Schizosaccharomyces pombe: one gene and its partners. Changing the gene in region 1 together with any one later gene gives a genetic interaction. Each region holds a gene or a part of one and is shown in the gene's direction. Other genes may lie near its edges. The genes, in order: sap114, sst6, hrd302 and adg2.

Region 1 (7,159 bases):
AATACCGGTATAAATTTGCTTTGACGAAGGAGAAGCAAAAATGGAGCCTGAGACGGCGGCAGTAAGCATACCCTTGCCCACGAACGAAGAATGAGTGGGTTCATGACCAGCACCACCGCCGGAAATGACACTGACATTCTTTTTGTTGTAGTCATGGAAATAGATGAATTTTCCCTCTTCATGAACAGTTAAAGTTTTGTTCATGTCGGCCAAGGATTTAAGGCCATCAAGGACGAGGACTTCAGGATCGTTGATAAAGTGCTTATCCATATTTTAGAATAATAAGAAAAAGGTAAAAAAAAGAGAATAAAGCCTTAAAATAAAATTAAATATAAGTTGGATAGTTAAATCAAATATTCCCGAAATTTATGATCTAAGAATATAAAATGACTTGTTTTAGGTGGTGGGGAAGTGCAAGTGTGAGTAAAGGATTAAAGAAATAAATCTATGTGTCTCTAAAATCTCAAAATATTAATATCAAAATTCCCTTCAATGCGAAAAAATTAACACTTTATACGCTACTATGCTTCAACTGGTTTAAATACAAAATAAATAAACCAAGAATATACTAGTAAACGTTTCGTTTCGTTACGTTATGTCTCGTTTTCGTTTCGCTATTTCGTAAAAGTTATGAGTGTAGCGGAAAAAGGGAGCTTGAAGACGATTTAATAATGCTGGCCTTGTCTCTCTATATATACTATATAACCACCAATTTGCATGACGAAGTGCCCCGCACGTAACGGAAGTGATATTATGCTGAAACAGTGAATAAACACATCTAGATAACCGTAGAACCGTTTTTCATACCCTTCAACTAATTACGAAATGTTGCCGATATGAACAATTAAATTAAATATCAGCTTGCCTTGCCGAAGATGACCTCAATCCATTTTCCTAGTCAAAGAAAAATTTCGCTGACCTTTTGTAGATCATATGCTAGAAAAGTAGTAAAATCGCAGCGTAAACTTGAGTCACCTTTATGTAGCAAAAGATTGCCTTAAAAGGGCAAACTCTACCAATGCCCAAAGAAGCAATGGGACAGGACGATGGCTATTTATTGAAATTGTTAAATCGTTACGAACTGCCATAAGAACCTTAATTAAAAGAAGGTTGTCGAAAAGTGCTCCGGTCTGCACATGTGGAACCAGTCATCTTAGTTAGTGCAGCCCCGGTATTCCACGGTGAAAAGCAAGTTTGCAGTGTAGAAGACAAATGGACCATTTGTTCATCAGTATATACAGTTAGTTAAAAGGATACGAAAGGCTGGATCATTTAGTGAACGAAGTCGCAAGTGAAATACTTGTTCATTATTATGTTCTGGTAAAAAAACCAACTTTTATTACTACAGCAGGAAAACAAACAAAAGTAACATATTGTTGGCAGAAAACACACAACCGAAAAAAACCTGTCTACTAGGAAATGGATCATTTTGATACTTCTGATCCGTTAGATACATTGCAGAACAAAAGATCGACCGAAAGGTTATCAATGACAAAATCTCTCTGGACCCTTTTGTTCTCATCTCTATTCTGTCCAAACCATCATCATCTAGTTCAATTCTTCTTGGACTCTGGTTTGGATGGAATAGTCAAACATTTAATGCCGTACTCTTCCGTAATCATGGCAATGACATGTGCAACAAAGTTGCCGTAAACACCAATGCAAATTCCAACGTAGCAAAAAAAGTATTCCGTCTGAACGTTTTTTAATACGCCAAAAGTATAGGCGTCCACGGCATCCACCAAGAATGGAAGAATAAGCACATTCCAGTATGGGAAGGGAGATTCGGTAATGTGAGAAACAATTACCACTCCAACCGAATAAGCAAAGATAAAAGCGTTCAAGCAAAAAATAGTGAGGAAATGATGTTCAAAGAAAGCAGGATACTTGGCATAGAGTGAAAAGACAGCCATCCATTGGAGGAAATAGGGAAGGATACCACTCAATGCTTTAATCACACTTCCGTTGTTCTTTTGGACGGCTTGAAGAGCATTTCGTAAACTTTGTAAGACATTCAATAGCAGGGCAAATGCCATAAAGTTGTACAAGCATGATCCATATGTGTAGTATGGCAGAAAGGAACGTACAAATCCCCATGACTCGGGAGTGGGATGTAGCTTGAGCCAGAAAGAATCACCCTTAATAGCTGTAAGGGCAAATAGTCCAATAACCATTACAATTCCTTCGACAGGACCCGAGAAGTATGAAAGGTACAAAGTACCCGTATGGTATTCTTCCCAAGTAGAGATGTAAAAGTATAATAAGCTGGCAAATTGAGTAAGGATTGAGCTAAACATATCTAGTTGCAGCAGTTCAATCGTCAGTAAAACTTCAAAGCTCGTATTGATGGCGTCTACTCCATGGTCAAATAATTGACCTAATGGAGATGATGTGCCAGTACGACGCGCTTGCGAGCCATCAATAGCGTCAAAACTTTGGTAAAGAAAAAGGCCAATCGCCCAAGAAGCATACACCCATGATGGGAAAGCATCCATCTCATAATGATACTTGTACACAAGCATAGTAAGGATATTGATAACAACGAATCCAAGCCCGATCAAAGTAATCAAATTAGGTCTAAGTAAAGAGTTAGTAAGAATAAGCAAGCAAACGGGTGTAGATCATACGCCATAGACATGGGAATCACCTTCAAAAGTTGATTCCACCAGTACGGCTTCAAAATATATTTTGAAAGAAGTGAGTTATCAATCGCACTATATTTATAGTTATGAAGATTCTTTAACTGCTTCCGGTTTAACTGCATCTTGAGAAACTACCTGGATATCCTTTCCTTATTCTCCGATAAAGTACTGGTAGAGGGTAAACATGTTACGCGTCTTAGTGTGTAGAAATAAAGGCAAAGCAACGAATGCAGATAAACCTTCTACCGATAAATAAATGTATAATGTAGCTTGCAAAAAAACTTGCACTATAACTATCTTTTAAATTCTAAATTGTAAGGATAATTGTTGCTATCAACCGTTTTGATGTTATTTGTCCATCCGCAGTGGATTACGGATGCCCTAGGCAACAACTGTTTAGAGCAGCAAGGTCGCCCTAAACTTTTATAAACTTCTATTGAATTTCAATAGTCCTTTCTTTTCGCTTGTCCATCGCTTCATCTGCCTTGTGCGACAAGTGTCCTTCCACCACTACCTTTTTCTGCATAAGTCTCACATATGAGTTCTTTAATGGAATTCCAAGACAGAAATACGACAAATAATGAAACAGAACACCAAAAAAGCATCACTGATCAAAGTTCATCGGTCCCTGCAGGGGTAATTTTACCTCCTCCAGCAATTCGAGGTGAGTCATAGTAATTAGTACAATAGACGCGCCTGCTAACGTAGCTTAGAAATAATTGATAAATCTGCTAGTTACGTTGCCAGAAATGGCCCAGCTTTTGAAGAAAAAATTCGCCAGAATGAACAGGCAAATACTAAGTTTGCTTTCTTGCATGCTAATGACCCCTACCACCCATATTATCAGCACAAATTAACTGAAGCGAGGGAGGGAAAATTGAAGAGTCATGCCACAGGCTTGTCAACCCAAAAAACATCCACTTTGGCTCGTCCCATTCAAAAACCTATAGAGGCAACTATTCCTGCTCCCTCACCGTACTTGTTTTCAGAACCACTTCCTTCTATTTCATCACTAGATTTGTAAGTATCATCTCAACTATTATTTCCTTCTTCTTTGAAGTTGCTAATTAACCGTGAATCTAGAGACGTGCTCCGTTTAACTGCGCGATATGCGGCAGTTCGTGGTTCTTCTTTCTTAGTGAGTCTTTCTCAAAAAGAGTGGAATAACACTCAATTTGATTTTTTAAAGCCAAATAATGCATTGTACCCTTACTTTATGCGTATAGTTCAACAATATACTTCTCTAATTAGAGAGCCCATTTCTTCGCCAGAACAGGAGCTTCGTGAAAATGTGAGAGACCCTTATAGCTTACTTTCTAAAATTCAGCCGCGTGTAAGGTGGCAATCGCATATGGAGAGCCAAAAGAAAAAACAAAAGGAAGAAGCCGAAAAAGAGAAGTGTAAGTGTATATTGAGATGCAAAAACTGGTTCAGGAAGTCCAATATTCTTCATTTACCATTTGAATTGGAACTAACTTGTCTTAGTGGAATATGCACAAATTGATTGGAACGATTTTGTCGTTGTTGAAGTGATTCAATTCACAAAGTCCGATGAACATGCAAAATTAGCTAAACCTACGAATTTAGCGGATTTACAAACTGCTACTTTAGAACAAAAGTCTGCCATGTTTACCATGCCTGACCAAAATTACACTATTGAGGAAGCTCCTCCTACAGCGGAGCCTTGGGAGCCCATAAGTGCGCCTAAAAAACAAGAATTTGGTGTTTCTCTTCCTCCATCACTTGCTTCTCCAGAAAAAGGAGGTATTTCTTCAACTACTTCAGTTTCTCCTGCCGCACAAGCTTCTCCCGTTTTGTCTACCACTACTCAGCCGAAGGTACAAAAGCCAGTACCAAAGGGTAAGTTTATATTCCTTATTGTAACTTTACTGACCCTGTTTAGCTTTCCAGCCCAAAGTTCCGATGGAGATATCGCCTTTCTCAGGTGAATTGGTTCCCGCTACAGAACTAGAAGAGCATATGCGTCTAAAATTACTTGACCCTCGCTGGCAGGAACAGCGCAAAGTTGAAGAATCTAGGAAATCAACTTTAAATTTAGAGAACGTGAACGTTGCTGCAAATATGAAAAGATTGGTTAGTCAACGGACTGATTTGTTTGACGTCCAAAACGGGGTAGAAATCTCTCAAGAGGAAATCGAACGAAGAAAACGTGCTGCTACTCAGAGCGCTTGGGGAGCAACTCCCACAAATAAACGCCGGTAGATTTCATAGAACTTTTTTTAATTTTGTTAATTTTTACTTTATTTTATTTAAGCTTCGTAGGACGCCGAAATCTATTAGTTAATTTGCTTCTACAACTCGTGAAATAAATAAGATGTAAATAAACCAGGTGTTGTAGACTTTCTCCAACTAATTGAGAATACAAATATTCTTTATTATAAAAAGTCCAATACACTAAACAAAGCTGGATTTTAACTTAGGAAATGCGGGTCTGGTTTTCATACCCGCCCACCGTCATCCTTAAGTTGTCATACCACGTAACCGCACAAACCTCTTAATTTTTTACTTCTTACATTGTTGATTCTTCATTTATCGGCTTTAATAAATGCTACATACTATCAATTATAGATCTTGGCATTTGGCTGCCAGGCAGTTAGGGCGTTCAACGTTTCGAAAGTTTACGACCGAATCGTCTACTAAAAGCCCTATTGCAGATGTTTGTTTCGCATTTGAGTAATACAGTAATTAATGATCGATTTTTGAAACTAACCAAAGCAGTATTGATGGAGTTTTAATTAGAGGAGGAAGAGGTTTGAAAGAAGGAACGAAGACGTAAGCTTAACTATGAACTACCATTTTCAAACTAACTTGTAAGTTTGAAATTTTTGCAAAAAAATAATATACCTTTTATTCTGTTAACGAATGGAGGTGGTATGCATGAGAGTGTTAGAGCTCAGCGTCTTTCCAAGACATTGAGCGTAAGTTTAACAGAGGATGATTTTTGTCAATCACATACCCCCTTTCGCGCTCTTGCGGATAAGTATAAGCACGTCTTGGTTCTTGGAGGAAAAGACAACAGCGTCCGTGAAACTGCTGAAAAGTATGGGTTTAAAAGTGTTATCAATGAACTCGATGTCATCGCAAAGTTAGGAACTCCATTTTGGCCTTTCACATCTTTTAACGAAGAAGATATTAAAGATGCAAAAGACTTTGACGTTACTAGACCCATTGAAGCAGTTTTCACTTATGTCGATCCTGTCCGACTTGGTTTGGATCTTCAATTGGTGATGGAATTGGGCCAGTCGAAGAATGGTGTTTTAGGAACAGTTTCGAAGACAGCAAATGAAGGTCCCGATATTTACTTTTCTAAGTAAGTTATTTCTTGGAAAGTATCTTTTGTGTAAAAATATTTTTGCAAGCTGTACTCGAATACTATGAGTGAATGCTAACAGCTTTTATAGTGCGGATTTAATTTGGCCTAATGAGTATCCTCTTCCCCGCTTAGGTCAAGGAGCTTTTGCAATTTGCTGTGAAAGTGTTTTTAAAGAACTTACTGGAAAGGACTTAAGAAATACGAAATATGGAAAACCTCATAAGCTGACTTATGATTATGCTAAAAACATTTTAATGAAGAAGCATAAAACTTTAGGAATCACCAATCCTCCCAAGGAAATTTTCATGGTTGGTGATAACCCCGAAAGTGATATTCGTGGTGCGAATAATTACGGTTGGACTAGTATTTTAGTACGTACTGGTATCTTCCAAGGAGACAATAGCCCTAAATATTCTGCGAAGCACGTTTCTGATAATGTATGGGAAGGTGTGCGCTGGGCTCTATCCAAACACGTTCCTGCTGCCAAATTGAACAAGTCAATGGGCGAGGTTCGTGGATTTCACACCTCTTCTCGTGTTTTAAACACTGTGACAAAAAGTAATAACAGTAAGCCTATTCAAAGGCCTTTGCGTGAGAATATTTTTACCTTGCCAAACTTGCTGACATTCTCAAGGCTCCTTTCAGCTCCATTAATTGCTTATCTTTACATTTATGATTATACTAAAGCTGCTGCTTGCTTTTTTTTATATGCTGGATTTACGGATTTGGTTGATGGGTATATAGCTCGAAAGTTTGATTTAGGCAGCATTGCTGGGACAGTACTTGATCCGTTAGCCGATAAAACGTTAATGACTTGTTTGACAATATGTTTAGCGGTGCGTGAGACTATGCCATGTATGCTTTTTGTGTTTATTAGTAATATCTAACCTTATCTAGTAACTCTTGCTAGCTTGATTATTGGAAGGGATGTGTTGCTCGTCTCGGCTGTCTCATATCTTCGTTATAAATCGTTGCCAGCACCTAAAACTTTTAGACGATTTTTCGATTTTGCGATACCAACTACTGAATTAAAACCTACCAGAATAAGCAAGGTATGTCGTAATGGTTTATTATCTACTGACTTGTGTAAACAATTAGTGGAATACAGCTTTACAACTGCTGTTACTCGGACTTTTGATTACAGAGCCCATACTTCCTTTTGATGCCTCTTTTGCCAAAAGCC
Region 2 (7,043 bases), 3.6 Mb from region 1:
TTACTTCAGCGTGGAGTTACAACTTACCGTTTGGATGGTGATAATGTTCGTTTCGGCTTAAACAGTGATCTTGGATTTAGTGAACAAGATCGTAACGAAAACATTCGTCGCATAGGTCATGTTGCCAAGCTTTTCGCAGATGCCTGTGTAGTTGCAGTAACTTCCTTCATTTCTCCTTATCGCAAGGATCGTGATCAAGCACGCGAATTTCATAAAAAAGATGGACTTCCTTTTATTGAGGTTTATGTTGAATGTCCAGTGGAAGTTGCCGAGCAGCGTGATCCAAAGGGTTTGTACAAGCGTGCTCGTGCTGGTGAGATTAAAGGTAGGTAATTGTTACACATTAAAGATACTTTTTCCCCTCAGGAAATTCCATTTTCTCAATGTTTTTAAATAGATGACCCTATAAAATTAAGGCTAACCGGTTTTAGAATTTACAGGAATTTCTGCTCCCTATGAGGCTCCCATTTCTCCTGAAATCGTGGTTTCTTCTCATACTCAATCGATTGAAGAGTGTGTTGAAAAAATCGTCAATTACTTGTTGGAAAAGGATTTGATTACTTTGAAGTAAACACGTTAACTCATCTTAAATACTTGTATTCCCCTTATATCCTTTCTCTCTTTTTTGTTCGCTTACTTGGGACCCAATAAAATCATAACATATTCTTTATCTGCTAGTATTTTAGAAACGACATCATTAATACTTGCGTCTGTACTGGTAAAACAAAAAGCATCTAAATTAAAGCTCTCTTAAACTAGCATTGTAGCCCACCCTGTAAGCATCACTAGTCCTCCAATTGGTGTCAAGGGCCCAAGAATTCGTCGCAGACTATGTCCTTTAGGCAATAAACAAAGTCCATAAATTGTCCCAGAAAACAAGCAGCTTCCTGTAATCAGCAGGGGTCCCGTCCAACGAGATTTCCCGTAAACTGGATGCAAAGAAACGGCCATGGTTGCCAATGAATGGAACATCAAGTAAGTACAAGCAGTGGACCATGACTATAATTTTATGTTAAAATAGTTACAATCATGAAATAAAAATGCATAAATCCTACCTTCAATAAATGTGGATCCTGAACACGTTTTTGCAACCCGTGAGATCCATATGCACCTAAACCTACGCTGAGCAGTCCTTTTTTATTGTTAGATAACGTAAAATAGGTTGTTTAACAAAAAGTAAATGTATATAAAGGTTATATACCAGTCTATTACTTGTGCTAGAACCTACCTGTCAATGCAGCTACGTTCCAAATTGTCATTATTGATAAACAAATATCAGATAATTCTTTCAATAAAAATGCAAACTGCTCGGTTTATTGCCGTAATTAACCTTTCAATAGTCTTGCAATTGTAGTATTGCTGGTGTTAAAAGAGAAGTGGAATACGTATGTGAGAACAATGATCCTCAATTATAGTTGCTACCTTAGTTTATATTTATGGATACGACACATTTCCAAAATATTGAATAAGAAATCTGAGCGTATTGGTACTTTGTGAATTTTTCATAACTGCTCCTATCAGTCTATAAATTCATATCCTAATATTATATACTATCAGATCGTCAATTTCAGAAATTGAGTATGTAGCACTTAAAATAAACTTGGCGTTAATGTTAATATGGCATCAATTGAAAATAATCTTGAGTATCGTTACCTGTTTTATCGCTTGATATAACGATATATTGTAATATTATACAGTTTATTTAAAAAAGAGATGCAGCATTGACGTTATTTATTACAACGATAAAATGCGTAAAGAAAACGACCATCTGTTCAAAATCAATTTCACAAGTGGTGCTTGCAATTAATAGGTTTTCGAAAACCAGCTAACTTTATTTGATTTCTTTAAATCCTATAAGATTTAATCACGTGCTTGCATAAGTGCGCCTCGTTTCTTTTTACCATGTCAGATCATGCAATCAATGAACACCCTTCACGAATTTTGAATACAATTGAAAAGGTACCGCTTGTTTTTTTACCAATTTAACCTGAAAAATAGATTAGATTTTGGAAGAATGGACTTGCTGAAGAACTAGAATTATTGTTTAGAAAACAATGTGAAGACACGTTTACACTTCAAGCAATTAATATTGAAGTAGATACGCAAGACGAAAACAAAATAGAAGAGGTCCGCATTTATTTGAGTACTCCAGCATTTGACAAAACAATTTTAACCTCGGCTTGTATAACGGTTCGCTCTTATTATCCATCACAGCCGCCAATAGTACAATTATTGGATGAAAAAGGAGGAAAGCATAAGTACACAAGTCTTCTACTACAACTTTGGAAAAATGAACGGTCTGTTTTTAATATCTATCGTTTAGTTCAAGCTCTAATAAAGCAAGACTTTGAAAGAGAACATACTTCTCCTCCTGAACTGCCGACAAAACTCGTTAATACTATTGAAAAGCTCAAAGTGAAAGAAGAAAATGAAGCTCCTCCTGTTATCCCTGCTAAACCATTCTCATCTTCCTCTGAACAACATTTCCGAAAGGTGCCTGCGTTACCTTCCAAACTACCGCCTAAGCCTTTAAAAATTACCGCTAATAGTTCCTTAGGACAAGAAACAAATTCCAATTCTTCCTCTTTTCAAAGTACGCTTTTTTCTCTGAATACAGCACCTTTTTCAGCTACATCACAACAGCTTGTTCACGATTCTGTTTCATTGAGGCGACCAAGTTCTAACATTCCTGCCCAAAAACCTATTCCACCAAAACCTGAACAAAATGAGATAATAATTACCAAAGACACGCCTTCACTTAAAGACAAATATTCAAAGCCTGCTCTGTTACCGCAAAAACCCAAAGTTTCTAAAGGTCAGATCGTTCAACAAGTTTCAGTGTTCTCGACAGGAAAAAAAATTGAGTCCCAAAGTTTGCTCAACCTTATAGATACAGATATTGAAACCCCTTTAAAAGGTTCGTCTGAGCTACTGTATTCAGAAGACTTTAAGCCCAATGTTGACCCTGTGAAAATTCAGCAAATTCTACATAAACAGAACAAAATTATTGAAGAAAAATGGATTTCACAAATACGAATATCTAAAAACTTAGAGGTTAAGCAAAGGCTTTTGGATCAAGAAAGACACGCTTTAGAAACACTTGCTAAAAATATTGAAAACAATAGATTCATCTTAGGAAAAAGAAGGAGAAAAGCCAGAGAAGCCCTACAGAAGTTGGACAATTTAAAAGACTTATCTGTTCAAGAACTATTTATAATACCCTCCGAACGAGAACTAAAATATTATGAACTTAAACGTAAGGACGAAAAACTGGATGAAGGAATTCGAGCCCTGAATCAGGCCTTGCATCATGAATCAATCATGCCCGCATCTTGGTTAAAGGGAATAAAGCTGTTAGCTAGACAACAATTTTTAATACGGGACGAAATGCTTCAATACTCTTAAGATTATAGTGATGTGAATTTCAGTGTCGACATTTTTAGGAATATATGGACAAGATAAATATTATTCTTTTATTTATTTTTTTGTAAAAAATATCTCCATTACCAGTAATTTCGATAATCATCGTCCTCATAACTTAGGTTTTTAAAATTTTTCTTTTCCTAGAAAGGTTAGATTGGATAACATAATTTTTGCTTACAATTGCATAAATCCATATACTAGGGAAAATAATTAAACAGGAAGTTAATAAATTGAAGTAAGAAATAAGTGGTTTTGCTGTAATTAATGAACCCGTATTTAAAAGAAGTACGGATAATCCTGCAAGAAATCCTAGTACAAAATCCTTGGAGTCAATCAACTTAATCCAAATATACAAATTAATAACCCATAATGCAAATAAATGATAGGACAAATGTACTCTGCCAAGTAAAGGAAGCATGTATTCAGAAAACTTAAGAAACAGCAGAACATTAAGTATGAAGTGCAGTTTGATAGGAATTTCAATTATGCTGATTATTGTCCAATTTTTATTTTTTAAAGATAGAGATTTAATTGACCTTATATTAAAATAGCAAGCAGCGGAAAAGCTTATGAAAGCGAGTTCCATGCAACCAACTCTCTACAATCATTAATTAAGAATTCTCCAGAAAATTTAATAAATAAATACATACATCAAAAGAATACCCAAAAAATTCCATCATCAAGCCATAAAACATAAGGCTGGAAACTTGGAACACAGAATTTTGAACGGCAGAGTATTCGTTTGCCGAACCCGCTGTAAATATGCAATCTGCACAAAGAACTGTTCCCCTGATTGAAATAGTTAGAACTTCTTCATGTTAAGATTCTCATGAATCTCAATTAGTTAAAAAATACGCCGGAAGAAAGAAATTCCTTCCGACATAAAATAAGATACCTAATGTATATCCATAGAGATGGAGAAAATGACCATAAGCTAGGATTTACTAATTGTAAAGTTTTTAAGTTCCAAGTTCCTATGTAGCCTAACAATATAATAAGAATATCGAAGAAAATGACAATACGCAAATTATTCAAAGCTGTGAGTCTTTGTTTATAGACTTCATCATCCATGATTGCGGAAGCAATTTAAATATTGTCAAATTAAAATATATTCATTCGACAATTATTTTCAGCAAATAAGCTTGAAAATTGTAGCTGTATTTAATATATGTCAAGGCAAGGCAATTTTGTGGTAAATAATTCGAGCAAAGAATTGCGAGCTTACGTACAGTAGAGGTACTGACTATTTACGATTAGTACTACCCTCTCTATCAGCTTAAAGAATAATAAAAAAAAATATATATATATATAATTCAGTTGAATGTACTAGTCATTGTTTACGAAATTTTATCGAACCTAAATTTATTATTATTATTATGTGTAAACAATTTTCAAATTTATGTAACCGTTTAATGAAATTGATATAATCAGTTGTTAAAATTAATGAACAACAATAAACAAAATTTAAATAAATTAAATTATACAAAACTTTTAGTAGGCAATATAATGCTAGATTTATTATCTTTAAAATAATAATAAAAATGAATTTTTTACAAAAAGCAGAGAAAACCTATTAAAAAAATATTCCTATAAAATAATCTATTAAAAAAAGTTTCAATATTTATTTGAAATAAAAAAAAAATCCTAAGGTTGCAACAAGCAAAAAAATCTAGAGCCTAAATTACCCAATAAATACAATAATGACCGAATCGAAATAAAAGATTAATACACAGACACCTGGCTAATAATTTCACCGCCTAAAATTTTGTTGACCCAATTTGGTATCCATGGTCGCCTGTGTTAACAAGCAAAAAACAAACTGTTACATGATGGCACAACATGTTTTTAGACGAGGAAAACAATTCGTAGCAATTTCTTCAACAATTTTTTCAGGCTCAACTTGATCAGTCAAAGTTGAATGTTGAGGACGAGAATATGCTTCTTGAGGTTCTTGAATGCAATTGAAATTTGGTTGAATAGGTGAAGTCGCAGATGGTAAATAAACATAAATGCGGCCTTCATTTACTTCACTGTTGTATTTTATAGATTGCTGCTCAAGCATTCGCACAATTGCAGGTCGTAGTTTTTCCACATGATTAGCACTGTGATTACCGCGCCCAACTATACTAAAAAAGAGTTAATTTTAATTAAGCGTAAAACATACATATGTAAATGATTGTCACCACGTCGGATGCAATTCTCAATTCGCTGTTGTACTGCTTGTACAGCTTCATCGATGTACAGACCATGTAAATCAATTTCATCGGGATTGCATTGAGAGTTTTTATATAAATAAATGGCTGAAGCCGCTATCAATAATTAGCACAGTCATAAAACACTTCTATTTTGTTTTCTCGAAGCCAATATGGGTTTGAAGAAACCCAGTGTTTTAAGTTCTATAAAGAAGCCAACCCATTTTTCTCTTAAATCACATGGCTTTATTCAGCTGTTTCAGAGCTCTTCACTTTGTACAAAGAATAGTTCATTGTCATAACTACTATTGTTTGGCGTATTGTCTGACCGATAACTACCGGAATTAGATACCAAACAAAAAGAGTGGAAAAGAAAGAAAGAAAAATCTCATGATGGGTTTGTTTTTCTATTATTGAAAGTTTATAGGGTTTGAACTAACAATCACAGCTTTTAATGAGAATTTGAGATTACCTTGTCGATTATAATTTTCCATACGCTCTCCACATAACTTTCCTTCTTGGCTTAGTTCATGCGCTTTAGCCTTGTTTCCTGCTGAATAGGCATGCTGAGCTTCTTGAAATAAATACCCTCGTTTTTCAGCCTCTTTTGACGCCAACGCTCTAAACTTTTCATACTTCAATAAAGTTAGTTACACCTAATTTCTCCTTATCTCTTTGATTAATAATTACCTCCTCCATTTCTATTGTTTCAGGTGTGGTACTAGACAATGAAGTTAACAATAGGAAATCTGAACAATGGAGTACCACAAAAAATGTTATATAATTCAGCTAGATCTCTGACAAAGATGAAAAATAATTTTTAAGAACTGTCTAAACAATAGTAAATCCTTTTGTTTTTTGTTTCGAATCTGTTTAAACTACAATTTTGCAATTGTTCGAACAGCATTCCATTGGTGTGTTTTGAGTCCATATATTTGGAAATTTGCTGTATATCTTCAAGCGAAAATTTAACTTTTGAGACATAGAAGTGTTTTCTGGAAATTCTAAACAAAGAGGAATTATTGGCATAACAGTTCATTGGGAAACTGAGTCATCAAGTGCTTTACAAATCACATTTTTAAACTTCTTAAACTAAAAAAATCTCGGGTTTATATTGTTCTTGCTCCCTCTGACATTATGAGACAACCATGGTGGAAAGACTTTACTATTCCCGATGCATCCGCAATTATTCACCAAAATATTACCATTGTCTCTATTGTAGGAGAGATTGAAGTGCCAGTTTCAACAATTGATGCATATGAAAGAGATAGACTTTTAACTGGAATGACTTTGTCTGCCCAACTTGCTTTAGGAGTCCTTACCATTTTGATGGTTTGTCTATTGTCATCATCCGAAAAACGAAAACACCCAGTTTTTGTTTTTAATTCGGCAAGTATTGTTGCAATGTGTCTTCGGGCCATTTTGAAT
Region 3 (7,778 bases), 3.8 Mb from region 1:
CTTCCATAATTTTTATTCCTCCAACGAAAAATAATAAAACCGGTTGGAATTAAAACGCAATGGTGGTTGGTTAAAGCCAAATACTTGGTTGTAGCATAAAACTTTTCCTGGCGAACACACCTCCTTCCAATACGCACGGTTACCTTCCCTTTGCCAACAACACTAACAAAGTCAAGAAGGCGACGGGTGTTCAAAGTTAGAAAAATGATCATTCCTATTCGCTGCTTTTCTTGTGGAAAGGTAAGGAAACAAATTGCTATTTATAGGAGGTGGTTGAACGCGATTCACATTTTTTATGGATCGGTAGAAAAATTTCACAATTGCTTCGTGTATTGTATATAGTTTAAGATTAGCCTAAGTTGAAGCATTAGATTATAGTTTTTTTGGTATTAGATTTAGTTTAAAAATAGCCCCATTTTCGCTACTGATTCCAACGAGGACTGATCCACTTTTGGGGCGATTATACATATGTTTGTATATTACGAACGCTTATTTCTATTTGTTCAAAGAATTTCTATCTATTATTTTTTTAATTATTTGCTTGCTAATACAGCAGGTTATTGGTGACAAGTGGGACACCTATCTCACACTCCTTCAAGAGGATAACACAGAGGGTGAGGCATTGGATAAACTTGGCCTTCAACGTTATTGTTGTCGTCGTATGATTCTTACTCATGTCGACTTAATCGAAAAGCTACTTTGCTATAATCGTAAGTTTCATCATAATGATTAATCTGCGAACAACTTAGGAACAAAACTAACTAAGTGTTTAGCGTTGTCAAAACAAAAGAATCTTTAATCGGTTAGCCACGCTTGAAAGAATGTGAGGTTTATACTTGAGATTAGGCCGAGAAGCCTGGATTGTTGCAGAATTTCAATTAGTTTTACATCATTGCTCAAGCACACCGACCGATCATTTAATTATTCACTTTTTCATTTCGTACCCATAGATTCCAAATAACGCGCAAATTTTGGCTTTTCTTCATGATTCTTCTGACATTTTGACTTTGATTATATGCTTGTGTGCTTTGTGACAGTTCAATAGAGGCTTGGACATAGGATAGTCAATTTGCATTTATTTTTTTATTTTTTTCTCTATGTTCATATAATCATTCTGTAAGCTGATGTTGGATGGTTAGTTTTGTTACAGTACAGAACTGAATTTTTAGGTGTAGATATGTAGATGCAAGAACTTAGAGTTATAGTTTCATTGCCAATCAAGTGAAGTTGCATATTACGTCCTTTAGAAATTCATTTTCCTCTTAACATTTTAATCAGAAGTTAATAAATAATATTTTTGGTGTTGTCTACATTTGTTAGTGCTACGTGATCCAGAGCATCATACCAATATCGGAGCCTACGAGCTTGAAATGTCAAGAAGAGAACAATTGAAAGCCAAAAATTCTATTTATTATTATGGACAAAGAATCATATGACTATTTGGTAAAGATTGTACTTGCAGGTCCTTCGGGAACTGGCAAATCCTGCTTGTTACAGAGATTTGTTAAGAATCAATGTAAGTACATGCAAATTTAACAATGTTCAAGTTTTTAATGGAAATTAGGGGATGATCAAGTATCACATACTGTTGGAATCGATTTCGCAAGTCGGATTATAAGTGTTGGAATGGGAAACCAGCAAAAAAGAATCAAGTTACAAATATGGGATACTGCTGGTCAGGAAAAGTTTCGAAGCGTGGCTAGGAATTACTATCGTGGAGCAGCAGGTGCTGTTTTAGTCTATGATGTGACAAACAAGGACTCGTTTGAAGAATTGTCGTCTTGGCTGTCTGATATTCGAGCTATGGCTCCATCAACAATATGTGTTGTATTGGCTGGTAGCAAATCTGATTTACAAAACCAACGACAAGTCTCTACTGAAGAGGCAGCTGAGTTTTGCTCAGAAAAGCATATATCTAGTGCGCATGAAACTAGTTCTTATACAGGAAGCAACGTTGAAGAGTGTTTTCTTTCCGTTGTCTCCACCATAATAACTAGGATTGAGTTGGGTGAAATTGATCCCCAAGATCAATCCTTAGGTATACAATATGGTGATTTAAGTTTCCGTAGACCGGTTCACCCTTCCAGTACTTCGAATTGGTGGACTTCAATTACGAATTGGGACGACCTGGTCCGTTTGGAAAGACAGACCAGATCCTATTGCTGCTGAAAAAAACAGTTATTCAATTATTTATTATTAAATTATCATACGTGTATTATTTTTAAGTTTATGAGGATATTTTCATGATATTTCGAAAGCTCTTCTCAACTTAAACACAGTTTGATGATTGATACATCTATATAATTATGACCATATTTACTGAAGGAAGATGTTAGAGTATAGAGCTGCATTTAACAAAGAGAATTAAATAATTTATTTGAATAATCGCACTTTAAATAAGTCCGATAAGGATCATTTACAAAAGGGTAAATTTACTATAGAAGTTTTGCTTTATGAAGCGCATATATAGAAGTCATCAATTGATTCAATTCATTACAAACGAATAAGGCCAATTACTCAGTCCGTAAAGTCCATATGGGTTTTATTGTTCGTCTTTTGGACCCTCCAAATCAACGGGTTCTTTTAAATTCAATCTATCCAAATTCGCATTGCCCCCATGAGAGAATGGTCTAGGACTATATTGTATTAGAATTAATATTAAAAAATTTTGAGAGCATACTTTACAGGAAAACCAGCAGGCCCACGAAGGGGAGGCATGCCATGACTTTCGGTTTCCCGCAATGCATTCCTTAGGTCCGTTTGTTTTTCAGATTTACTACGATTATCACCAGTAGAATGATCTGTATTGGAATTAGAACTCATTTTTTATGTGTTTGGTTCTTGGTAAGTAACGATTACTGCGTTGGTTTCACATCGTCTGTTCCACGTCAAACTTATAACCTGACATCAACATAACATATCCATAAATTGGCAGTCTTCGCTCTTTTCATAATCTTTTTAAAAAAAACCAATTAAGTTTTGTTATTTAAGATCAAGAAGATTTACTCCAAGTTGGTATGGTTGCCTGATTTATTCCGCCATTCAATCCTACATTGTTATAGTTGTTTTGAAGGTGCGGGCTAACAATAACAAAAGCTTTTATTTTCCCATTTTGAGCATTTCATATTTTGTGAATGCTTTGCCTTTCTCGCTTTTGTGATAACTTACACTTGCATTGTTCCACTGTTAGTTTAGACGCGTTTGTTGTTGGAAGTCATTGAAAGAAAAGCTCCGGTAAATTTATCAATAAAAACGTTACACTTTTGTTGCTGTAAAATTCGTCTCAAGCGGGTAAATTTGCCCTGTTTTCAGTTACAACTGTCATTGTTAACTTGTACATATCATTATTAAATTATGGGGGTTTCGGTTCTGACGTTTCACGTTAGTTTATTTTTGAAAAGAATCTTAAGCATAGCATTTTTTTTGCTTTCTTTGTCTACCTTATTGCGTATCGTGAATGCACAACAATATGTAGACAACAACATAGGATCCATGGTATTGAGCGACTACGATTTCGCAGAAACTCCATCTGTGAGAGTTCAGCGGGCTTTGGAAATTCTTAGATATTATTATGAGCAGGAAGACGTAACGTATGAAGAGATTATTATTCAAAGAAACCATGCAATTGAGTTGCTAAGATCCGCATCTCATGATAATAACACGGATGCCATGCTTTATCTCGCAAACATTGAATTTTTTGGTCTTTTTGAAATTATTCCCGAAATTGAAGATTCCGTCAAGTATTATGATATGCTACAAAAAGCGAATGGTAGTGCATTTGCTAATAATATGATGGGATTTTTTTACTCCACTAGTTTTAGTGAGTATGCCTCTAACAACCCAGCATTAGCTAGGATACATTGGGAGTTAGCAGCAAAGCAAGGCTCTTTAGACGCTCATCAATTTCTGGCGTACCATAATTTAATCGCTTTAAATATGCCTCAATCGGATGAGGAAGCTGTGAAGCATTACAAATTTATTTCTGACCACTTATTTGAAGAAGAATGTGGTTCCAATGTAACCTATTTAAAGTGTATATGGCCTGAAATTCAGGATTATAATTTTGCCGGTGAAAACGGTATGGGTGTGTACGGTGCTGCTTCTGCTTATACCTATTCTGATGCCTATCAGGCCCTACATACTAGGAGTCAGTACCTTCGTGAAATGTCAAATTCAATTGAAGATTGGGATTATGAGTTAATGTTTGAAGTTGCCAAATTACGTCTGCACGGGATGTATAAGTATCCAAGGAATTACACTGTTTCCGATGTATTATTTCGCAAGGTTTCAAGACAATACTGGCCATACACTTCAGAAAATAGTGTGTTAGCTAACACTCCACAGAGCATAATTTCCTTGGCCGCTCAATCTTGTGGATATTTAGGACTTTTACATCTATTTGATAAAGGTCCTTTATTCGATATAGACAAAGCATACTGGTGGTTTAAAAGAGGTGCAACGAAAAACGATTCCAATTCTTATTACGGTTTAGGTTACATGGCTTATCACGGTTTAACTTCCAACGGCGTTGATCGAGAAAAAGGAATGAGACTAATAAATTTAGCTGTAATGAATGAAAATCCCCATGCACTTATGTTTCTTGGCCTCATTCGTCTTGAAGAAGCGCGTTATGAAGAGGCGTATCACCTCTTTTTAAGAGCTGCTACTCAAAAAAGTGTCATCTCTTACAAATATTTAGCTGATTGTTATTATAATGGAACTGGAACTAGTCGATCAATGATAAGTGCCTCTTTATACTATAAAAAGTTTGTGGAAGCAATACGAGCTTCTGCAACCTCGATGGCTATAGCTTTAGAAGAAATAGACGAATATGGATATTTTCATAATTCTTTCGTCTATTACTTATATGCCGCTCAAATGGGATATGCCCTAGCTGAAATTAATGCAGCATATTTGATGGATGAGAATAAGTTTCTAATTAACTCAGTATTCCGCTACTTTAACTATACCCAATCTGAGCAGGAGGCTGCTCATGATAAATTTGCGTATGAGTTTTACTCTCGTGCTGCCGCTCAGGGTGATATTGATGCCATTTTTAAACTGGGTGATTATTACTACTATGGAATTGGCACCCCTAAAGACTACTCTAAAGCATATACATGTTACAAAATTGCTTATGAGCAAAGCTCAATCGGTATGGGCCTTTGGAACATGGCATATATGCACGAATACGGAATAGGACGAGATCAAGATATTTATATTGCTAGACGATTGCTGGATGAGCTATCTTCTAACCAAAACTCTTACTTCCCTTTAAAAGTTGCCATTTTTTGGATCAATATTCACCAACTTTATATTAAATTACTGAAACTACTTCGTTTACGGTAAGTATTTTTTATCTAAATCGCATGAATATGCTTCACAAGTGCCAATATAGCTATCGTTATATGCATGATCAGCTGCTTGAAGGAGCACATATTTTTAATCCTACAGTCAAAATATTCCAATTCACTTTTCAAATACCATAAAAGCTGCTAATTTTTGAGAAATCCTTGCACTGTTACCCGTGTTACTCAACCTGAATTTCTCACACATTTACAGCGAAGTGAATTTACTACTACGTTCATCTGCAATTGAACTGGTGTTTTTGTTTTCTCGGGGAAATGGGTAAAGCTTCCAAGGCTACAAAAAAGTTTACTAAAAACCACCTAAAAAATACTATCGAGCGGAGAAAGCAGTTAGCTCGTTCAAAAAAAGTTTACGGCACAAAAAATCGAAATTCACATACAAAAAATAAACTGGAAAGTGGAACAAATGATAACAATAAAAACAAAGAAGATCTTTCTAAACTATATTCAGATGTAACGACCTCTAATACATCGCATGAGAAAGACGGATCAGAAGATATTTCGGTTCTTAATGTAAACTCCAAGGGCGCTTCTTTAAATCAAGTTTCTACTCAAAAAAGACGGAGTGAAAAGGATTTACTTGCTGCTATTGCATATTGTCAGAAATTATCGGGGACCAATCAAGCAGATGCGTTGTGGAAAAATGTTGAAAAGGACTTAAAGGAGACTTTGGACAACGTGGATTTTGACGCTAGGTCAAAGATTCTTCAGGACCTTCGTTTAGAGTATGCCGAGATTTTATTAACAAAATTTAATTTTGAGAAAAAGGGATATCAAAATTTGTCTTCGGCCCTTGATACTATACTTCACATAAAAAAATTTTCTAAATTTCCCAATGGTCTGGTTACACAGCTATGTAATATTTTTGTTAATCATTCTAAAGCTCGGGAAGATATTCAAAAAGCAGTTAATCATATTTGCAAAATTGATTCGTCGTTGAGTGTGGCAGTTTTTCAAGTATTTTACTCGCCTTTGTTGGACTTTTTTAAGTCTTCTCCCAGTGAAGTTAACGATTTCGATACCCTTGAAGAGCTTCAACTGTTCTTGATTGAACTTCTTTCTCTTAACTCACGGTTTTATCAAAAAATTGCCTTCGCTTATCTCTCCCAATTGGATGCTCATTTGAAGCGCTGCTTGAAGGAGTCTGAAAGCAGTGATGCATACAAATTAATATACAATTGGCAATTTACGCTTTCGCTGAGATTTTGGTTACATGTTATATCATTTTTATGGAATGATTATGAATCAATCTCCAAAGAAATTTCTCCAATCGCCATAAACCTGACGCTGGATTGCATTCGTTTAATTCCTACGGAGCAATATTACCCATTACGTCTCCATCTTTTAAAGTCACTTGTTAATATTTGCAGATCTACCCGCCTTTACATCCCCCTGTCTTCTCAGTTTTTAGAAATGATCCCATTTGTTCTTAGGAGATCGAGTCCTTTGTCTGATGATAAGGAAGTAATGTATAACTTTGACATGTATTCTACTCTTCATGTGCCTAAAGAATGTTTGTTGTCAAAATCTTATCGTAACAATGTCAGAAAAGAAGTCATTTTGCTAATGACTGAATATTTTGCCATATTTTCCAATTCAATTGCCTTTCCAGAGCTCTCTGCTCCCATAATCGCACAACTTCGTGGACTGGTAAATGAATCCGCACCGGGGAAGCATGTTTTAACATTCTTGAACAAACTTGAAAGCACTTTTTCTTTTGTTGAAAGCAGAAGGATGAACGTAGATTTTACTCTCAATGACACATCTCAAGTAGAAGCTTTCGAGAAGGACTTGGATTGGAGGTCTACTCCAATGGGTAAACTAGTCAGTGATACTACCTAAGAAGGTTCTTTAAATTGACTTTAAAAAAATTTTTATTGTACAAACGAAAAAAGTAAACACTTTTGTCTGGTGGAGATTAAGGATATAAATAAGCATTGTATATCTACATGATTTTCAGTTAACTTACTATAGAGATCAAAAACGGACGAATTAATTAAATTAATAAACGTTCTAATCATTCATAAGATTAGTAATAGAGTTTAAAAATAGCGTAAACGCTGTAGTTTTAAATTTTTTGCCGCATCGACAAATCTTAACGTATTTTTCATAATGGACATAACTAGGTAGAGACATTTTTGGGAAACGGATCCTTGGCGGACAAAACCACAGTTTCGAAGTTACGAGATATATATCCTCTCATGTATCCTTTGCTAATCATATTGGCCAAAATAGCTTCTACATGCAGTTTGGGTAAATCAGTACCGGCAACTTGAAGGGCTATCTGAAATACAGAAACAGGTAAACGAGTAGATTTCCCACAGATGATCCAAGTCTTACGAAAAAGATTTCGAATACACAAATCTCTTGTGCCCTCTAGGGTGAGGTAAATTTTGGTTTTTGCAAGCA
Region 4 (8,235 bases), 2.9 Mb from region 1:
TTTGACGATGATAATCCCATTCACAGAAGTCACCATGATTTTATTTTTACGACAGAAGGTCATTTGTTTCCCGTGACAAATCAAACACGACTGTCTACCTCTCAAAGAATTTACGACGGTGGAGAAGTTTGTGTTGCAGAAGATTACGACAGATCTAAATGGCCAATGTTATATTCGTTGATAGCATCTAGAGACGATTACGATTATGTCTCTCATTTAGTAGGAATTGATAACAAAGCAATACCCTCGTATCTAATTGATCCATCGGGTGTTTGCAAGAGGCCAGAGTATTCCGATGGTTTTGAACTCCTTTATGGAAGTGCACTTGTTAGTCCTATAAAATCAGTGGAACGTGTAACCAATAATGTATACATATCCGACATTATCGGTAATAAACTTAAATTCGTTCAAAAAGAAGGTTCTAATTCTCTGTTTTTATACACTGCTGGAGCTGAATCTATAAATGAGAATGACACGGTCTTCCTAACCGATCCGGATTATGAGACCTTCACAAGACCTGATGCATTGTACTTTGATCGAACTATTGCTCAGCTAGAAAATCCGAACAGTGGTCAAAAAACGTTTGGAAAATTCCTTCAATTTGACAACGATAATTCTTTACCTTCAAAGGTTTTTAAGACAGTCTTGTTAAATAACAGTATGTGTCAAAAACCCTCCGATACTCTCGACAAAGATACAGCATATATTGCTCCACTTGGCAACTGCTCATGGGTGCAGCAAGCAAAAAATACCAATAAGGCAGGATTGTTAATTCTCATCACGGATGGTGAATTTATTAATCCGTTAGAAAATATTCATTCTCAAAACAGTCTATTCAATTGGGTTAAACCATACATCCCTCCGACTATTCTCTTAAAAAATGAAAACAATTTTGTTTCTAAATGGGCCAACGTCTCTGTGCGTCAATCAGACTTTGACGCCCCTTCGTACTTCCAAGGAACTCCAGTTTCAAACCTATATTTGTGTCTGAAATGCATAAACAGCTAGGAATAACGCTGTTTTGTGATTTTTTATTTACGCATGTGTATAGACTTGCGGTCATATATGCTTTTTACTATTTAAAAAATATTTGTGCTGCGTGATTTCAAAGCCTATAGATGTTTATCCATTCAATACTTAATAAAAGTATATTTGGATAATTCAGCTTTCTCTTGTAATTATACTTTTAATCGAGGGCTATATTATAACGTGGATTCGTCAATAGGCTTATAATAAGCTGAATGTATCTACCTATTTATATTAAAGAAAAGCGTGGTATTGACCATTCTAAAAATTATACCCTTTATGACCCTTATAAGCTTTTCTCCTTATGATGTTGCATCCTTTTTTCTTTTTTTTCATTTTAAGATATCGATTTCCACCCGATTTATATATATTTGCTAACAAAAATCCTACTTTTTAGAATACTAGTTGAAAAATGTATAACTTATTCAATTTACAACTTAGACTAAAAAAATCCTAGCTTGACGAATAAACCATAGAAAAAAACCCAGAACCCTAAACATTTATAAAAAAGGAATAAAGCAAATATAACGTTAAAAATTAGAAATGCTTATACATACTTCGAGTTCATAGTTTAAGCAAATTCACTACCATCAGGTGCTTCATCCTGTCCAGTAAGAAGTGTATAAGTAGGAGCCATAAGACGCTTACGTCCTTGAAGAAATGTAAGTTCTAAAAGGAAGAGATGTCCAACTAATTCACCACCCAAACGAGTAACGAGTTCATCAGCAGCCAAGGCGGTGCCACCAGTAGCAAGAATGTCGTCAACTATTAAGACTCTTTGACCGGGTTTAATAGTACCCTTTTGGATTGCAAAAGAATCAGTAGAATATTCCTTATTGTAGCTTACGACGACCAAATCACCGGGAAGCTTGTTGGGCTTACGGACAGGGACAAATGCACAATTTGCACGTAAAGCCAACGTAGGTCCAAAAAGAAATCCACGCGCCTCCAAACCAACAATCACATCAATGTTATTGAATTCAGTTTCAACGGCTTCAAGCAAAAGATCGATAAGGATGCCAAAGGCTCTGGGATCTTGAAAAATGGGCATTATCTAATAACATTAGCATCTTATTGTTTATAATTTAACAGAGTATTTAAGCAATTGCAAGGCGTAAAGATAATATAACCTCTCGAATTGTATTTTGGATTCAAACTTCACGCTAATTGAGCAAAATAATATCACCGTTCCTATCCAACCTCGCGCATTTCCTCCTTCTATAAAATCTTACATCTTCAAACAAGATTCCCTTTTTGGGAAAATCTGGATATTGAACAAGTTTATTCTTAAGGTAATTGATTCTATCGTCGGACATTTTAGTAAATTGCTATGTAAAAACTTCTACAAAAAAAAATAAATACTCAATTTCCGTTACCGTCTATGCAGCGAAAATTTTGGACTGCTGTTTTCAAGTAACATGTTACCATCCGTTTAATGTAAAAAACGTCAGTCATAATTCACCTATTAATACTAAGTAGTGTACCGGGTTAACTTTGGCAGCTAAGACGAGCTCTAAAAGAAACGTTTATGTTTGAAATTCGACGCTCTTTTCCATTCCTTTCTTCGTGAAAACTGTCAGCCACAACTCCATGTTTTGAGGTATTCCTTCTTTAGTTTGATATACACTTCAAGCAATTTCAGTCATATCCGTTGTTCATCATTAAACAAACTTCGGTCAAGATTATTAGCCGTTTTTTGCTATTACATTCAGTAGAAAGCTTATTTTTTAATTTGTTTAAGCCAGTTATACTGATACACTTGGTATTAATTCAATTCAGAAAAAAATTTCAACGGCAAACATCGATACACATTTTTCTAAGAACCAAGCTTCTTTTTCAGGAATTTTGAATCAATCATTTGACCATTGATTTGCAATCTAAATTTTAGCAGTGGGTTTGTTCGAATACTGCAGCTATACCTATAAATTACCCATTTACTAGCTTCATGGATTAGAAAAATAAGTTTTGTTGTTTCATTTGTGCTTTTTGTTTTTCTATTCTGTTCTGCTCATTTCTTGTTATTTGAAAGCAAATCTTTCTAAAAAGCTTTATTGACACTTTTATGGTGGTATACCATTTATATAATCTAGTAAGTAAAGCAAAAACCAAAATCTTACGCCTCTACATTACTCGTTTAGTCTGCTCCTAAGTAAAAATAGGCACTCCAAAAATCGCTCCTTCTCTCCGTTCCCTTTTTTAATTTACGTTGACATAATTAAGTCAATAATGTTTGCAAGACATCCGAATTTATTATGGTTGAACAAACAACTGTCTATTTTACATTATCTTTGCCTAGTTTTTTTAGCTGTCTACTATGCCTATCCTCTACTATTTGGCATAATGCCAAGAAAGCTGCAACTCGAAGATGAAAATTCTTTTGTTATTATGGGGGTTGCTGATCCTCAGATTGAAGGGAATCATAAAATCGAAGCAAATGGATTTTTTAAAGGCACTTTAGATCTTTGGGGGAATGATTTGTTTTTACGACACCTTGTACATATGAATCAGTTTTGGGGTCAACCAGATGCGATGATTCTGTTGGGTGACTTGGTCAGTTTTCAGCACTTGGATAACGAAGAATTCAACAAAAGAGCTAAAAGACTGAAAAAAATCACTGGGGCAAAAAACTTTTGGCAAGTAGGAAACTCCAGTTTACCAGCACGTACTTTTGAAAACGGTAACATTCCCGTTTGGACGATTGCGGGTAATCATGACATTGGCTATGGCTGCGAAAGTTCAGACGCACAAATTAGCAAATGGGAACAAGCTATGGGCCCGGTAAATTGGGTTTCGCACTTCAATGTTTCTAAATTTCCTGTCCGTGTGATCGGCATAAATAGCCTTTCGCTTGATGATGTTCAGTTTTACGATGCGAACCCTAGCGATATTATTAACAGTAAAAGTTTTTCATCATTAGGTATACTTGCTCTTTCAAAAGAAGCTAGGGATGCTTGGCAATTTCTTTTCGACATTGCTTTAGAGCCGTCTATTCCAACCATACTGTTCACCCATGTGCCACTCTACAAACCAGCTAATGTGTGTGTTGACGAACCGAGAATCGTTCGTCAATTGGATTTTCGGGTCAAGTCTCAAAATCATTTATCGTATAATACTACTATGAAAATTTTTGAATTGATTCCTAGCATCAAATTGGTCCTTTCTGGCCATGATCATATGGGTTGTGACTACGAACACCCGAACGGTGCCATCGAACATACATTACCCAGCGCAATGGGGTACTTTGGAGGAAATATTGGTTTTGTCAAACTGATCGCGACAAATGATGTTCTTACAGAGTCCTCCAAGAACACACCCTCGGTTGTTACATTTCTGATTCAAAAACTCATTGGCCAACGATGGAAGAAGGCTTCATTGAAACAGTCAAAATTCAGTTCCGACATATATGCCACTTATACCTTGAGTCACGGAGGACCATCTTATATTTGGTGGGCTCTTCACATATCGGTATGCGTACTTACCATCTTACGTTTATTGGTAATATCATTGCAACATATCTAACATTGTTGTGCACTAATTGTTCAAATGAACAGTTTTATATTTACACCAGCCTCTTAAACAGGCAATATATCCAGCCTTTAGGTGAATTTGAGAGAAACCAACCTTTTTTACCAGCCATTCTGCTGGTTTTTAACCAAGAACCTGCAGATTCATTGAATTAACGTGGTGCCTTAATTACATTTAACGTCATTTTTGTACTTTCTTGCAGTAGTGCTGGATGTTTATTTACACAAAGTCGACCAATGTTACCATAGTAACGCGACCCAAGAATGCGTTATCTAATTTAGGTGCAAATATAAATGTCTCTCTGGAATCCACAATTTTTCGATTGTTTTTGTTTACATCGATACAGTTTCCAGCATTGCCCCACTTTTGAGCATTAATACACTTAGGTCATATCAGAAACCCAAGTGCTATATTAAGTCGCCTTTCTCGCTTACTTTCTTTCCTTAACCATCTACTTTTAGTTGGGTATTCGTCTTGCTGAAGGCCTGTGCACTGCCAATTGCCGAACTAGGGATTTATTTGAGAAATGAGAAGATTAACCATCAGCGGGCTATTAATTAGCTTAGCCAAGCTTTGTGCTGGCATGGAAATTAATGTTCCTTCTTCTTCAGACGTTTGGACTAGTGGACATATTGAACCCTTGGAATGGAGTGTGGTCAGCACTGATCCCCTGCAGGCTAATGTCTGGTTAATAAACGAAGTTGAGTATCCACCAACAAGCCGTTACATAATGACCATCAATACTTTTGATGAAAATGCCACATTTCCTGCTTTAGATCTTTCGCCAGGTTATGGCTACCAAATTAGTTTTACGTCTATTCGCGACGACTCTGTTATTTACGCCCAATCTGGTACTTTTTATATTGTTGGCGGCGAAGGTATCTCTTCTACTACTGGTAGTACTTTTCAAAGCATGACTACCTTCACTAGTTCACAAACCAACAGTGGTCATGCTTCTGCTAGCACTTCTATTCCAAGCACTGCTATAACTGTGACAGCGAATTCTACCATTTATTCATCTGCTACTTCTAGTTTTCCATACTCTACAGACGTTAGTGTCTCGACAGGCACATCGACCGACATTGTAACCTTACCTCCGCCAGCGTCGAGCACTTCTTCGTTTAGCACCATTACAAACACGTCTATGATTCCCAGCTCTTCATCGTTTACTACTACTACAGGCTCTCCTTATTATAACACATCTAGTTTCTTACCTTCCAGTGTTATATCGTCTGCCAGCCTGTCTTCATCATCTGTTTTGCCAACGTCTATTATTACATCGACTTCCACACCCGTTACAGTCTCTTCTTCTAGTCTCAGTAGCTTCACTCCTTCCTATAGTACTAACCTTACTACTACTGGAAGTACCACTACCACTGGTTCGGCAACTGTTTCCTCATCACCATTCTATTCCAACAGTAGTGTCATCCCTACCAGTGTACCATCAAGTGTTTCTTCTTTCACCTCCAGCAGCAGCTCATACACTACTACGCTGACTGCTTCAAACACTTCTGTCACATACACTGGTACTGGTACTGGTTCGGCAACGTTTACCAGCTCCCCACCATTCTATTCTAACAGTAGTGTCATCCCTACCAGTGTACCATCAAGCGTTTCTTCTTTCACGTCTAGCAATAGCTCATACACTACTACGCTGACTGCTTCAAACACTTCTATCACATACACTGGTACTGGTACTGGTTCAGCAACGTTTACCAGCTCCCCACCATTCTATTCTAACAGTAGTGTTATCCCTACCAGTGTACCATCAAGTGTTTCTTCTTTCACGTCTAGCAATAGCTCATACACTACTACTCTGACTGCTTCAAACACCACCGTTACATTTACTGGTACTGGTACTGGTTCGGCAACGTTTACCAGCTCCCCACCATTCTATTCTAACAGTAGTGTTATCCCTACCAGTGCACCATCAAGTGTTTCTTCTTTCACGTCTAGCAATAGCTCATACACTACTACTCTGACTGCTTCAAACACCACCGTTACATTTACTGGTACTGGCACTGGCTCAGCAACCGCTACTAGTTCTTCACCCTATTATTCTAACAGCAGTATTATTGTTCCTACTACCGTAAGTACCAGTGGATCTGTTTCCTCCTTCTCTAGTTCTCCTTCTCCTACATCCTCATTTTCTGGTACTTCGGCTCTTAGTAGCTCATCTAATGAAGAAACAACTACCACCACCCAGGTTACTTACACTACGTCTCCCGAAGAGACTACTACTACTATGACTACTACCACATGTAGTTCCCGTCCCGAGGAGACTATCTCTACTGTTTCCACCACTTCTACTGTCTCTGAGAGTGGAAGCTCATCGGCGAGTATCACTTCGACCTATCCTAGTAGCACTCTTTCTATGACTACTTCTCATTTAAGCTCTTCCTCTGTCCATTCATCTTCTGCTCATTCCTCTTCAAGCAGGAGTAGCTCTATGAGTTTGCCGCCTAGTGCAGGAAGCAGCACTAGCTTGCAACGCATCTCATTGCTTTGTGTTTTTATCCCTTTATTGTTTTTATTCTAGACTTAATTTGACGGGGACTGGTTCTCTAGTATTAATATTTCGTCTGGGATGCTCCTTTACCCGTTAGCAGCGTTTCACTCGAGAAGTGCACTTCGGCTCACATTTTTATTTCTCATACATTATTCGGCTTGTTTGATTTCATTTTATTTTCCTATTTACCATGCATCTATTTTCATTTGTCGAAAATTTCGATAAAAAAACATTCATGTCCCTTGCTTTTCATTTCCCAAATAAATCATTTTACGTGCATACACATGTTTGTTGTCAAGGGTTATTTCAAAAATATAAATTCTTCGATAACCCGCTATTCAAAAACAACAAACGTAAAAAGCATTCGTGTTTATCTGTTAAACGATAGTTCGAAAGCTGCTGCACTTGAAAGGCTTTTTGATTTGCGTTTATGATCGATTGATTCGATATTTTCAAAGGTCTTTCTTTTTCATCTTATACATACCCAATTATACCGTTAGTCTTTACTTTAGTTTAGAAGAGATTTCCGTTTATTTTTATATTTTACGCCAAATAGCTAACCGCTATTTGTCTTAAAAGGTTTCATACGGTCTACATATCATTTTATATTACAGATTATTTATTTAGTTTTTTTTACTATCCTGATAGGGTTTGTTACATTTAAGAACTGGCTGTATATGTTAATTGAAATAAAAACGTTGAACGTTTTACCATTCCTTTATATTTGAAGAACAGACCAATGTAATAATGGAAGCTCTTCCAGATTAGGTTGTTCGCAATCGTTATGCATAAGCTTTCTGTAATGTTATAAGACGATATGAGATTAGAATATGGGGTTATTTTAAGGGCGAGCAAAAATATAATTTTACGAATGTTTGTTTATTTACATATCATAAAAAAAAGTTCAAAAGTACAACTTTTTGGAAGAGAACAGTCCGACATTTTATCAAATGATTTTTTTATTATAAAAAAAATATATTTTGAAAGCTTGAATATTTAAATCATTTTTTGTTGTTATTAGGGAACGTATTACGTACTGAGTAAAATCGTACTCGTTTGCGCTTCCTAATCACCAGCCGCTAAATATACTCGCCCACCCCACAAATCTACACTCTTCCATTACCAGCTTTCATTTGTTTGTAAGCGCTTTTTGCTAGAATCTAGTAGAGAAGTTG

What was found.
Region 2: mutations in sap114 (region 1) and sst6 together harm fitness more than expected from each alone (negative genetic interaction), as found in Schizosaccharomyces pombe (one large-scale study listed by BioGRID).
Region 3: mutations in sap114 (region 1) and hrd302 together harm fitness less than expected from each alone (positive genetic interaction), as found in Schizosaccharomyces pombe (one large-scale study listed by BioGRID).
Region 4: mutations in sap114 (region 1) and adg2 together harm fitness more than expected from each alone (negative genetic interaction), as found in Schizosaccharomyces pombe (one large-scale study listed by BioGRID).

Annotation. Positions count from the first base shown.
Region 1 is NC_003424.3:1,170,176-1,177,334, reverse strand, and holds sap114 (U2 snRNP-associated protein Sap114), read left to right. Parts: upstream 1-2,886; 5' UTR 2,887-3,179; coding exon 3,180-3,306; intron 3,307-3,355; coding exon 3,356-3,662; intron 3,663-3,725; coding exon 3,726-4,042; intron 4,043-4,127; coding exon 4,128-4,502; intron 4,503-4,545; coding exon 4,546-4,865; 3' UTR 4,866-4,984; downstream 4,985-7,159. Other genes in the region: dihydroxyacetone kinase Dak1, read right to left, coding at 1-270; ept1 (CDP-alcohol phosphatidyltransferase class-I family protein), read right to left, coding at 1,554-2,577, 2,628-2,764; cardiolipin synthase/ hydrolase fusion protein Crd1, read left to right, coding at 5,209-5,336, 5,379-5,435, 5,479-5,973, 6,065-6,831, 6,874-7,028, 7,075-7,159. UniProt on the Schizosaccharomyces pombe protein: Involved in pre-mRNA splicing. May be involved in endoplasmic reticulum-associated protein degradation (ERAD) and required for growth at low and high temperatures.
Region 2 is NC_003424.3:4,773,936-4,780,978, forward strand, and holds sst6 (ESCRT I complex subunit Vps23), read left to right. Parts: upstream 1-1,753; 5' UTR 1,754-1,902; coding exon 1,903-1,959; exon of another isoform or gene 1,960-1,998; coding exon 1,999-3,405; 3' UTR 3,406-3,503; downstream 3,504-7,043. Other genes in the region: met14 (adenylyl-sulfate kinase), read left to right, coding at 1-325, 432-571; SPOM_SPAC1782.12C (uncharacterized protein), read right to left, coding at 751-999, 1,056-1,132, 1,229-1,259; protein mug162, read right to left, coding at 3,504-3,563, 3,602-4,021, 4,074-4,212, 4,319-4,494; SPOM_SPAC11H11.03C (uncharacterized protein), read right to left, coding at 5,246-5,549, 5,588-5,732, 6,088-6,250, 6,306-6,314; pheromone p-factor receptor Mam2, read left to right, coding at 6,753-7,043. UniProt on the Schizosaccharomyces pombe protein: Component of the ESCRT-I complex, a regulator of vesicular trafficking process. Binds to ubiquitinated cargo proteins and is required for the sorting of endocytic ubiquitinated cargos into multivesicular bodies (MVBs).
Region 3 is NC_003424.3:4,943,661-4,951,438, reverse strand, and holds hrd302 (protein Hrd302), read left to right. Parts: upstream 1-2,906; 5' UTR 2,907-3,354; coding exon 3,355-5,349; downstream 5,350-7,778. Other genes in the region: U3 snoRNP-associated protein Nan1, read right to left, coding at 1-7; DNA-directed RNA polymerase subunit Rpb10, read left to right, coding at 205-240, 557-710, 774-799; GTPase Ypt4, read left to right, coding at 1,417-1,516, 1,565-2,169; SPOM_SPAC1B3.20 (uncharacterized protein), read right to left, coding at 2,543-2,636, 2,681-2,823; noc202 (Noc2-Noc3 complex subunit), read left to right, coding at 5,625-7,211; SPOM_SPAC1B3.08 (hypothetical protein), read right to left, coding at 7,492-7,778.
Region 4 is NC_003424.3:4,077,793-4,086,027, reverse strand, and holds adg2 (protein adg2), read left to right. Parts: upstream 1-4,871; 5' UTR 4,872-5,077; coding exon 5,078-7,090; 3' UTR 7,091-7,639; downstream 7,640-8,235. Other genes in the region: alpha mannosidase Mnl1, read left to right, coding at 1-1,008; apt1 (adenine phosphoribosyltransferase), read right to left, coding at 1,598-2,080, 2,259-2,342; ted1 (phosphoprotein phosphatase), read left to right, coding at 3,253-4,545.